Linked DNA regions of Coturnix japonica. The protein of the gene in region 2 interacts with the protein of the main gene of each other region in a pairwise test. Links are inferred from orthologs where the notes say so. Each region holds a gene or a part of one and is shown on either strand. Other genes may lie near its edges.

Evidence for each region.
Region 1: the proteins of RBFOX2 (region 2) and BOLL interact in binary tests that used the Homo sapiens proteins (3 or more experiments, as listed by UniProt). The two-hybrid records come from large-scale screens. The link is inferred for Coturnix japonica from reciprocal best matches to the Homo sapiens genes RBFOX2 and BOLL.
Region 3: the proteins of RBFOX2 (region 2) and RNF8 interact in binary tests that used the Homo sapiens proteins (3 or more experiments, as listed by UniProt). The two-hybrid records come from large-scale screens. The link is inferred for Coturnix japonica from reciprocal best matches to the Homo sapiens genes RBFOX2 and RNF8.

Annotation. Positions count from the first base shown.
Region 1 is NC_029522.1:8,896,140-8,899,789, reverse strand, and holds part of BOLL (protein boule-like), read left to right. Parts: intron 1-288; coding exon 289-343; intron 344-3,037; coding exon 3,038-3,113; intron 3,114-3,650. UniProt on the Homo sapiens protein: Probable RNA-binding protein, which may be required during spermatogenesis. May act by binding to the 3'-UTR of mRNAs and regulating their translation.
Region 2 is NC_029516.1:47,483,313-47,486,962, reverse strand, and holds part of RBFOX2 (RNA binding protein fox-1 homolog 2), read right to left. Parts: intron 1,829-3,650; coding exon 1,775-1,828; intron 1,639-1,774; coding exon 1,546-1,638; intron 968-1,545; exon of another isoform or gene 900-967; intron 487-899; coding exon 354-486; intron 1-353. UniProt on the Homo sapiens protein: RNA-binding protein that regulates alternative splicing events by binding to 5'-UGCAUGU-3' elements. Prevents binding of U2AF2 to the 3'-splice site.
Region 3 is NC_029518.1:27,120,535-27,124,184, forward strand, and holds part of RNF8 (E3 ubiquitin-protein ligase RNF8), read right to left. Parts: intron 3,338-3,650; coding exon 2,597-3,337; intron 1,630-2,596; coding exon 1,567-1,629; intron 839-1,566; coding exon 749-838; intron 1-748. UniProt on the Homo sapiens protein: E3 ubiquitin-protein ligase that plays a key role in DNA damage signaling via 2 distinct roles: by mediating the 'Lys-63'-linked ubiquitination of histones H2A and H2AX and promoting the recruitment of DNA repair proteins at double-strand breaks (DSBs) sites, and by catalyzing 'Lys-48'-linked ubiquitination to remove target proteins from DNA damage sites.

The DNA.
Region 1 (3,650 bases), on a different chromosome or scaffold from region 2:
TCACCATGTAACACCAGTAGCCCAGCAGGTTTTGCTTAGCTGTTTAGGTGAACTACTCATTCGCTGCATGGAAACAATGATATGTGACCATGTATCTAAACATACTAGAAAGTAGGCTACAATGAGGTTTATTAACAAATCAAAGCTACAGTTGTTACTACAGTCTCTATTTCTACAACTGATTTTTTCCTATTCCCCTTCCCTTCTAATACCATTACTATATGGAAAGTATTAATGTGCAATATATGAAATTACGATCATCAGAGACTTAGCTCTCTTTTTATTTAGGTATGGTTTCATTACTTTTGAAACTCAAGAAGATGCACAGAAGATACTACAAGAGGTGAGTAATATTCCCCATTATGATTCCCTTATAAATAATTTATTTCATGGGGGACATAAAGTATCTCTGGTTTTCCAACCATTTTCTGTTGGTCTACATGGATTGGTAGGTCTGTTAAGATTGGTCATTCTGTCTTCCTACAGTATAGTTGAAGAAACACTTAGAGAGCTAGAGATCTAAGATAGCTTCTTATGAGGAAAAGCTGAGGGAGATGGGCTTACATGGGTTGGGGAAGAGATGGCTCTGGGGAGACCTCAGTGTGGCCTTACAGTACTTTAAGGGAGTTTAAGCACGAGGTGGACAGTCTTTATACATGATCTGAAAGTGATAGGACAAGGGGGAGTGGCTTTAAACTGGAAGAAGGTAACCTTAAGTTAGGTATTAGGAAGAGGCTTTTTACTAAGAGGGTTTTGAGGCTGCCCAGAGGAGCTGTGGATGCCCCATCTCCAGAGGCATTCAAGGCCACGTTGGATGGGGCCCTGGGCAGCCTGATCTAGTGGTTGGCAGCCCTGCCCATAGCAGGGGATTGGAACTATATGATCTTTAAGGTCCCCTCCAGCCAAGGCCATTCTATTAAGACAAGAAATGCTCTGAATCTAGAGAAGTGAGCTGTCGTCTGATATTAGAATGCTTTACTTTGGCATGTAGTATTTGCTTTCTTACTCTACATGTGCTCCATACAGTCTGTTCTGGTGCATGCTGATTACTCCTTATCCTTCATTTGCTTTACTAGAAGATGCATTGTTAAGATAAGTTGGAGAAGATAACTGCTTTATTTTATTCTGACATATTTGATCATCGGAGCTGTTGTAGCTCTTCTGAGGAATAAATTTATTAGAGGTCTTAAATAGTCAAGTTCATTTAATGTTATATAACAGTTGCTTTTCTACTTACCCAAGTAACCATCTTGATGTTCCCTCTAGAGCCTCCCTTGAGATAGGATTAACTGTTAGGTGTTTATTAGTTTTTCAGCTCCTACTTTAAAATAACAGACATGGGGTGGGGGGGAGAACAGAAAACAGTATCCAAGGCTTGCAAAATATCTTCTGCCAAATATAAGACAAGATAAAATATTGAAGTACTGAGTCTTTGAATATTTACAGGTTAAAATTCATTTAAAAAGAAATCTTGGGTATTTTCAAAACAAATATGTGGAGCTTGAGTACGCAGACGGGAATGCTGTTTCTTTGTGGTTTTTTTCCCCTTTTTCTCATGGGTTTTATTGTTTTATTTCTGTGAAATAGAAGAATACAGGGGGTATCATTGTGAATGTGGTCCAGAATGTTTGCCTGCACTGTAACTGAAAGGCTGTTCCATGTCAAGTCTTAGTAGTATCCCACTGTATGAGACTGATACCTTTTTGTCTGCAGGACATGTTTTATTTCAAACATCCTGCTATTATGTTGTATTTTTCTTCTGCATCGCACAGCCTCGTTTATCTTTAGGTTAGTTATGATCTAAGCCTTATTTGGGCTATTTCAGTAGATAGTTTCCCAGTTTTAATAGTTTATTATAGCATAAATTATTTATTTTATACTATTGAATTTCTTGTTTATAAATGTCCTACTTCTTGATCATCAATAACATCTTCAGAGTTTTTTTCATAGTGTTTTTCATTCCTCAAAAGTGTTAAATTGCATCTCAAGAACTGGCTGTGTGGGATTTCTTTAGGGTCCTCTTTCCAGTCACGTACTGCTACATCTAATGCTACCTCTTCCCATTTTTCTTACTTTATAGTCACAGCTTCTCCTATTAATCTTTCCTTGTAGCATCACATGTAATTTTTCATGCAGTGCCATATCGAATGCTTTGAAGAAATCTGCACTGATTAGATATATATTTAACTGTGTAAGTCGTATTTAAAAAGGCAGCGTGAATTCTGATGGATCACAGGAATGGAGTATGTTGAGAAGAGTCACCCTGTGTTGTCTGTGGAGGAATGTGGTTGGAGTGAAACTGACAGTAGTTTTTGGGAGGGGAAATTGCTCAGTTTTCAATAGGATTAGTTGGTGTATTTGCAGTAGAGAAATTACACCTGACGCTGAAAACTTTGTGGCATAGTAGGGTAGCAGTTAGGGCTAAGTGGGAATCAGAAGACTGTATAATTTGTTGGTTCTTTGCACACTTTTTTAAGGTATTCTGCTATTAGGACATCTTTTGATTTTTATTTATTTTGTCATTTGTTAGCATGGATGTAAGGAAGGTAACACGGGTTTAAGGCAGTCCCAAGGTCTCACATAAAATTTAAGCTTTTTATTACGTTCAGTCCTTATACTCTGGTCCTTCTTGTAGACTTGTTCTTATAAGTTGCTTTATAAAAACAAGGCTGTAATTATGAAAAAAATAAGTTTATACTTGAAATTGTCCATTTCTAAATATGTTTACTTTTTATTCTAGTAGTAGAAACATGCCTGTATGAGCAGAAGGGTAGAACAAACAAAAAACTGAGAATTAAAGGTAGCTGTTAGTCAGGAGGCTCTATGATGAGTAAGGAATACTTGAGATAAGTAATGGTGGCTTTTATGTATGTGTAGTCTAAGATCAGGTTAAAGAAGAAGCTAATGTGGTTCTTGTTTTGTCAATATGTGTTCTAAATAAGAAGCAGTGTCTCTGGTTTTTGTTGTTGTTTTAAATGCCTTGATCTATGTAAAAAAAACCTAATACTGAGTACTTTTTTTTTTTTTTAAATTCTAGGCTAAAAAACTTAATTACAAGGATAAGAAGTTGAATATTGGTCCTGCAATAAGAAAACAACAAACACGGATTCCCCGTATGTATATTCACTTGCACTTGTCTATTATATATGTCATTGCACATCTCATTTTTAACCAAGATGTGCCTGATCATGTGTTGTTTTAATGCTATAAAGAGAACACAGAATAAATGTGTACCAGTGGATAAATCCAGATTTGGCAAGTCCAGGATTGATCTTCAGAACTTTTTTCTCCTCCTTAGTGTATTGTTTGCTCTCTTGGGATGATGATTTATGTAGGAGCAAGGGGAATGGAATCTTATCATAGTTACATGGCAGAACCTCAGTTCTAAACACTGTCCTCACAAATTGTTCAGCAGACTTTCCTGGTTCTGTGTGTTATTACTAGTTAGTAGCAAAATCCCTCAGAACCATGGCATCTTGCTTTGTTCAGTAGAAACTATAATGAGCGGGTATTTGTTGTCTCCACTAAATTCTTAGGTTTCTGTCCTTTAAAATAAAGGCAGAGTTGCTAAAGGTTCCTTTTCTGGCAAAGAACTGCTTAAACTGAAAGCATACATGAGAGAACTATTGGTCAGGTGGCCAACTATTGGT
Region 2 (3,650 bases):
GCAGAGAGTTGTAACTTTTTAGGACATCTTAGACCCCTCTTTGCGTCCTTCTCAGTAGTGCTGCAATGTATTGGGTCAATGGATGACAAATACCAGAAGATGAATTGAGAAATTCTGAGAAGGAGTACATCAGCACTTCAGGCTGTTGCAAGTACTGAACATTCTCTCAGGCATGAACTTAATGTAGCAAAATTTAGGACTGCCCCCATTGGATGCCATCGTATGCAGAACACTCTGGCGCTAAGCAAATAGCCTGACTCTCACCATCCAACAATTTTAGTTACGTTTTTGTTAGCCAATTTATTATTTGACACGGTTGTGCAGAGCACTCTGCTCTTGCGACCAATGCTTACCCTGGGTAGGCAGGGATGGCTGTAGGAGGTACTGCCCGGACTGCCCCATAAACCGTCCTTCCTCGGCCCCTCAGGTGGGCTCCCCGAAATGCGGCTGCTGTAGTGGCTGCAGTTGGATAGGGGAAGCCTGGAACTGTAAAGACAGACAAGAGAGAAGGTGAAAAGGATCCCAGCTCCTGCCCAGGGAACAACCGCCTGCTTCAAACAAAGTGACACAAGAGCTCCGCAGCGGTGGGATGTTTTGCATCAATCCTGCGGAGGGGCATGCTTCTAACCCAGCAAGCATCGTATACATACGTCCTGCTACACCATGGCCTTTCAGGGAGGAGGGGTTGCAGAGAGGTTTGGCATGCAAGAGGTTAATGCATTGGCATGCCTCACCCACCACAAACAGGGTCCAAATCCCCCCCTCTGACACCGCCATGCAGTCTGGTTAGAGTCCGAGAAGCGCAGAGAGTTACTATCAATATAGCAGGCGGCTCTTCCAAAACTGCAGAGGCTCTTTAAAATAATTTGTCAAGAGGCCCTTAAAGTCAATCAACTTACATCAGTCTCTTCCCTCCTTTCCCCTCCCACTCTTTGCCACCCAATCCTCTGTATGTTCATTTTAAAGCCTGAAAGACAAGATAGCCCATATAACAGCAGCAGAAACTTCCCATAAAGTGCCAGCTTACTGAGAGCCCCTCTTCATTTAACGTTATTATACTTGATGCTGGCTCACCGTGGAATGACGTGAAGCCCTAGAGGCATCTGCAGACACGTCATGAGTAGGTACCAAGAGGGACAAGTGGAGAGGCATGAACCCAACCTGGTGTGCACCCAGGTGCACACCAAGGGGCCCTGTGCACTCAAAGCTGGACAGCTTGTCTAATATGTACTTTAGGAACTGTCCGTTTGGTTTCTTTGATTCCCAAGGGGCGGAGGGAAATAAAGGGAACGGCCTATTCCTTGCACACACCCTCCCCTAGGTCTGCAGCCTCCTTGTCACATAGATGAACCCATTCATAGTACAGAAAAACTGCAGATGAACGGGTTACAGCCACTGCGCAGCATACTTGGGCTATAGGTAAACTCATTCCCGACAAGACCCATCCTTTCAAGTATATATCGTACAGACCGGAGAAAAGAAGGGAAACAGGTCATAGTTAACTCAAGCACAGTAACAAGAGAGGGGCCAATGGGGGCTACTTACTGATTAAAGGAATGTAAGTGTTAATACCCCCCCTTCCTGACAGGGGCACTGCGGCGTCATTGCCCAGCGAGACATCTGCTTGAAAGCTGGACGCTAATTTAATTTTAAAAAGAATGAAAAAAACAAAAACAAAAACGTAAAAAGGTTATAAAGAAACAGCAAATTGAGAACATAAACAAACACCACTGCAGTTAAATGGCAGAAGTGGAAGTGTCTGCTGAAGCTCTACCTGCATATAACTCAGGGCCGTACACCGCTCCAACCACAGGACTCAACTTCCAACCTGAAACAACAAAGACTGCAGTGAATGCCAGAATCTACACCAAGAGAAGGAGCAGGCAGCGTGGGTACAGGGAACGGATCTTGTGCATGCGCCCCAGCTTCACATGCAGCAGCTCTTTCGAATTTCTGCTTCACCACAATCCCCCTTGGTGTAGATGGAGGCCAACTGCTTTTTTCTAACATCGAGGTCTAGGTGTAGGTTGCTGTACTGAAGGGAACAGCCAAACGCCAGCTGACCTGCAGGAGGGCACTGAGGGAATTGCCAACTGCCTCAGACACGTACTTGCCGCGAGCACCGCACAGACCTACATTCCCTGTGTGAACCATGCTGTCAGCTCCTCCACGCATTCACGTGGATCCAAAAACCTCTCCGAAGCCACAGGGAAGTCAATTTACACCTTTAAATTCTCAAATCACCTCTCTGTCATATTTGCTAGAGATCTAAAAAGCATCAGTGATTGAGATTTCCTCACTAACTGGATTGCACGACTGCACTGCAAAAAAAGCAATTCACTCTCCTCATCTCACATTTGCTCCTCTCCGTGTTATTTTAGAGTTTCCTATCATCTTTACGCTCCTTTCCAGATGAAAGCCTTCCCAGAGAACTGGTTTTAATATCATCTGGATAACTGGCAAGAACTGAAGTCATCAACACAAAACACACAGGAGAATAATGCTTAAAGGAGCCACCACTGGCCTGCCACTGTGGAAGGGGAGTGAGGAAGAGCACGTTCCCCTGTCAGATCTAGAAACCTGTCTGCCATCCCTACCAGCTTCCTCTTTGGGCACACAAAGATGGGTGTAGAACTAACAACGTGATCTGGGCTGGCATGGAAAGAGGAGGGAAGACTGTATCTGCTCAGCTAGCAATCACACAACTATTTCTATTGAAAAAGATTCCAACCTCTCCTCTATCTAGCTTTAGGAGTCCTGATACACACACTGCACTTTCACCACTCCTACTCAGCCTAGAAACCTCATGAGGTGCAGCCCATCAACACCACTCCCCCATGTGAACCAGTGAGATGCAATGCATGCTTCCTCTGTGAGTGTGGGCAAGCTGTCCTGCACTGCACACCTTGCTGGCAAACACTAATGCAAGTGATAACAATAACTGGATTGGGATCGGCCCTGTGACACTGAAACAATTGTACCACCACTTGCTAGCATGCCTTATGCTTGGCCTAATACCGAGTCCCTTGCACAGTTTTAAAGCAAACACCGCAGGCTGCTAAGGCACAATATTCCTGTTACCACGTTTCCCAAGTCCTAAGACCAGGTTTTGATACCAAACAGCCATACACAATTTCTGTCCTTCCTCTCATGCGCATGTAACATGGTTGTACTGCCTTTCACTATAAGATTTCCTAATTCCTTTCAAATACTAAAAGCCAGAATCCCAACCTTTCTGCCTGTCCCTGCTTCCCCAGTTCTACAACCAAAAAAAACCACCAACTATATGATCTGCAAGGAGCCACACAACAACTCAGGAGCAGAACCACAAAAAAAAATCTTTATTTTCTTGTTTCTGAATCTTAGGTTGTAATTAGAAGAGATTCTTGCACAAGCAACTACCTATGCAACAAGCTTCCTGCTTGTTGAAGCTGTTCAGGAACATTTTCAGGCCAAGAAGAATTTTTCCTGCTTGGCTCAGGACTAAGATTGAAATTCAAAATGCTTATCAAAGCAGCATTCAGTTCAGACAGGAGAAGAATGACTTTTTAATGCTATATATGTGCCTATGCAGTAAAATCACTGCACAGACATAAGAACCTAGATAGCCCAGTAAAACAGGGGCTTCATCGCCCAAACAACTTGGTCAT
Region 3 (3,650 bases), on a different chromosome or scaffold from region 2:
GTAACCTCCCTCCATTTTGTAGTTACAGCAGTACTGAGAATATTCCTGTCCATAACAGAGTGCTTACAAGAAAGAACAGCCACTGTTAAAGTCCCCTTCAATCTAAAGAATCTACAAACTGGATCAATCTTCATATTTTGTTGTTTAGGGTTAAATTAGGCTTCCGGCATCTGCTACATCTTCTAAGAACTATCCTTAAAGCAACAGTTGCAAAGCTGACAGAAGAAAACAAAGCAAATAGCCAGAGGAATGAAACATCATAATTTCCAAGTGTAGAACACAGCACAAGATCACTTTAATTATCTTCCACTCATCATCTTGACAGAGGCAGGAAGAAACATGGCTTATCTCATTCGTTATTAAAATGTTACGTTGTCTCAGTCCCGTGCTCCCTTGTTGGACTGCTGGAACATGCTGCAGTTTCACTCCAGTCCACGCAAACTGAAAATGAAGCACCCACTTTTCCAATACCCTTGTTTGGTTTTCTTTTAAAGAAAAGAATGGGTCAGCTTCTCCTGCACAACATTATTCAGATGTCCTGTGCTTTCTGTATCTGGTAATAACTCTGCAATACTACTCCACAAACAGAGCAAAGAGTATATCTTATACAGAGTGAATCAGCCGCCAGACCAAAATACAAGAGCTTTTCAACACAGAAGGCAGCACACAGCCAAAGCAAATGTTAAATCATTTATTCTGCCACAGCATATCATATTCCAATTACGGAGAACTTAGTTTTATTACTTACTTTGGTTTCCTCCAGTTCTTTATTCTTGGCTCGAATTATCTCCTCAAAATCTTTTTTACTACGGCTCAGTTCTTCCATCAAAGCATGATGCTGTAATGATACCATGATACCAAAAATAAGAGTGTTATTATAAGCTACCCTATTAAATACACATGGATCTAATCATGAGGTTCAGCACACTCATTTCTCCTTTCTTCTCCTGTAAGAGCACCAGCTCTATATAAGCCAAGGTGTTAAGGAAGTTCACCCAACACCTACAACTTACTTTACATTTCATTTTGCTTTTCTGGTCACTGTCTTGAGTGCATCTGTTACATTTGAGTATCAAGGAGTATCTGACACACAAGTGTCACAAAAGCCTGTCAGAAGGGCTGGTTGAATCTCTTTTTGGATTAGCCTTAAAACCTTTTAGACAGAAAGCCTAGGAAAACTAAGCATTTGACAATCTCTTTCAGAAACATTCCTAACCAAAACTAGTCCTTTTTCCTGTGGTTTAAAACTACCAAGGCAGCTTTCCCAAAACAGATAACCAGAGGACAGACCTAGCAAAAATATCCACCAGTATGTGGACCGGATTCAAGTAGAACCACTACACTACTTAACACTTTCTAAAAGCACAGATTCTTGTGTTATCTGCTGATAAATAACAACTCTCAAGAAGGGAGGCCTGTCTCTTCCTAGCAATAATTTAGTCTGTAGAAGATAAAGACCACTCAAAATGCACTTTAGACACAGTCCTAGTCTTCCACCAAGAGTGGAAGCAGTAAGATTTAAGTATATGAGTTCCATATTTAGACCAAGTAGATTTAATTACTTGCCTCTTGCAGAACCTGGACCAGCTGCTCCTTCAGATTCTCTTCCCCATCCTGCCCTTTTACTCCCTGAAAAAAAAAATAAAAAAAAAAAAATCAAACACCAAAACTAGACATTCTTGCAGTAAAGCAATTATTGGAGGAAGAAAAAAAAATACTTGAAGATACCACGGGAATGAAAAGAACCATTTTGCACATTTAGAGGATATAATTAAAGCAACAAAACTGATTTTCAGCAGAAACTGAAAAGGCCTACTGTAGAGATTCAAGTGTACTACTGAAATTACAGCTCCCATTTACTGTGAAGTGCTAAAATGAATGTATCACTTACAGTTCCATACTTGGAACAACTCCATGTTACTCTAGCTCTGAAGACACTGCAATGTTCACAGAAGCCAGGAAGCTGGCAATAGCTTACACATGAGAAAAAGTTGAAGCTCTCTCTCTGAACACATTTAAATAGGCCAGACAGAGTTACAGCTTCAGGTGAACTTCCCTTTATCCTAAGCACACAACTCCAAACCTCCTGTACTTCTGATACAGTATTCTGCTTTCAGCAGCAGACTTTAAAGGAAGTAACTGATAAATCAGGTAAGTAACTCTCAGACGAATCCTTACTTCCCTTGAACCAGATTTCAAGTAGAGTCAAACAGAAAGATAGACTTGTAGCTTCCTATCTAAAACAAGTTATCAGCATCCACACAGTGCTAGAAGGCACTTGCGGGTAGCAAGAAGAGACTGTTTTTCTCCTAATAAAGACAAAACAAAAAAATCAACAACAAAAACCCCTCCTTCCTCAGACTCTGAATTAAGACAGGCAAAAAATGATGCACTTGCTTGAAAAGGAAATAAATTCCCCACGTGAATTTAGCATTAATTCAGAAAAGCTGTATACTAAGAAAAAAATCCCATTTAACGTGAACGCTTTTTAACGTGTCCTCTTTGTAACCCACAGAGGGTCAGAGTTTTAGTTTCGTAATTGGAAAAAAATATATATCTCAAAACACACAGACTGAAATGATTACCACCATCATACCTCTAGCTTCTGCTTCTCTTTGGAGAATGTCCTCTCCAGCTCTTCCACCTGCTGCTGATGCTGTACTTGTTCTGTGCACAGTTTGTCCTGCAACTCTTGCAGTTCCTTTTCCATTGCTAGGATCGTCTTCTGAGCAGCCTTCCTGCGCTTCTGCTTCGCATTCAGAACTGCTGTCTGTTTCTCCTGCACTTTGACTTTTAATTTCTTTATATCTGTGAGATTTTTCCTCAGCTTTTCCAGGCCAGTCCATGACTGAGAAAGAGCGGAGTGTTTCTGGTCCTTGTGAGCAACAGCCACAGCTTTCTCAGAGCAATCAAGGCTACCACGCACTGGACCACCATCGTCCTCACTTGATCCAGGAGAGGGCAGCCTGACAACCCCCTTGTCTGTCAACTGTTCTGCCTCTCCTACTCTTCCCAATGTATTACTCAAAGGTTCTCCATCACACGACACTCTGTCCCTTTTGGATCTGGAATTTGAAGGGCCTTCTGATCCACATGTCTCCGATTCTTCCAAAGTAAATTTACGTTTAGGTCTTGAGGTCCTAGCTTTCCCCAGGTCACTCCTTTGGGCTAAAAAGGGTTTGATTTTCTCCCACTCCTCTTTAATTACTTCATACTCAAATTCAGCAGTCTCTCTGTTTTCCAAAGGCACTCCCAACTGGATACGGTCTCCTTCTGCTATAGGATAGGTTCTTGAAGGATCCAGGCGCTGTTTATTAAGCCAAACTCCATTTAGACTCTGAATACAAAGAATCAGCAAGGTTCAATATACAGTTACAAAGTCATCTGCAAGTTATTTCTGGCAACTGTAAACATATCCAGTCTCTGCAGTATTGCAGTCAGAACAAGCCACCTCTTTAAATAAACCTTGCAATTTCCAACTTAATGGTTCAGTGTCCCATTTATTAAATCAATGCATTATATTATTTACCTTGTGTTATTACTCCACTGCAGATTTCTGTGTGCATGCACTAAGAACAAAATTAATATACGCACTTGTGCAGATGGAAAAGAATTAAGTCTAAGGGAAAGAAACTACCCAAAAGCTTCGG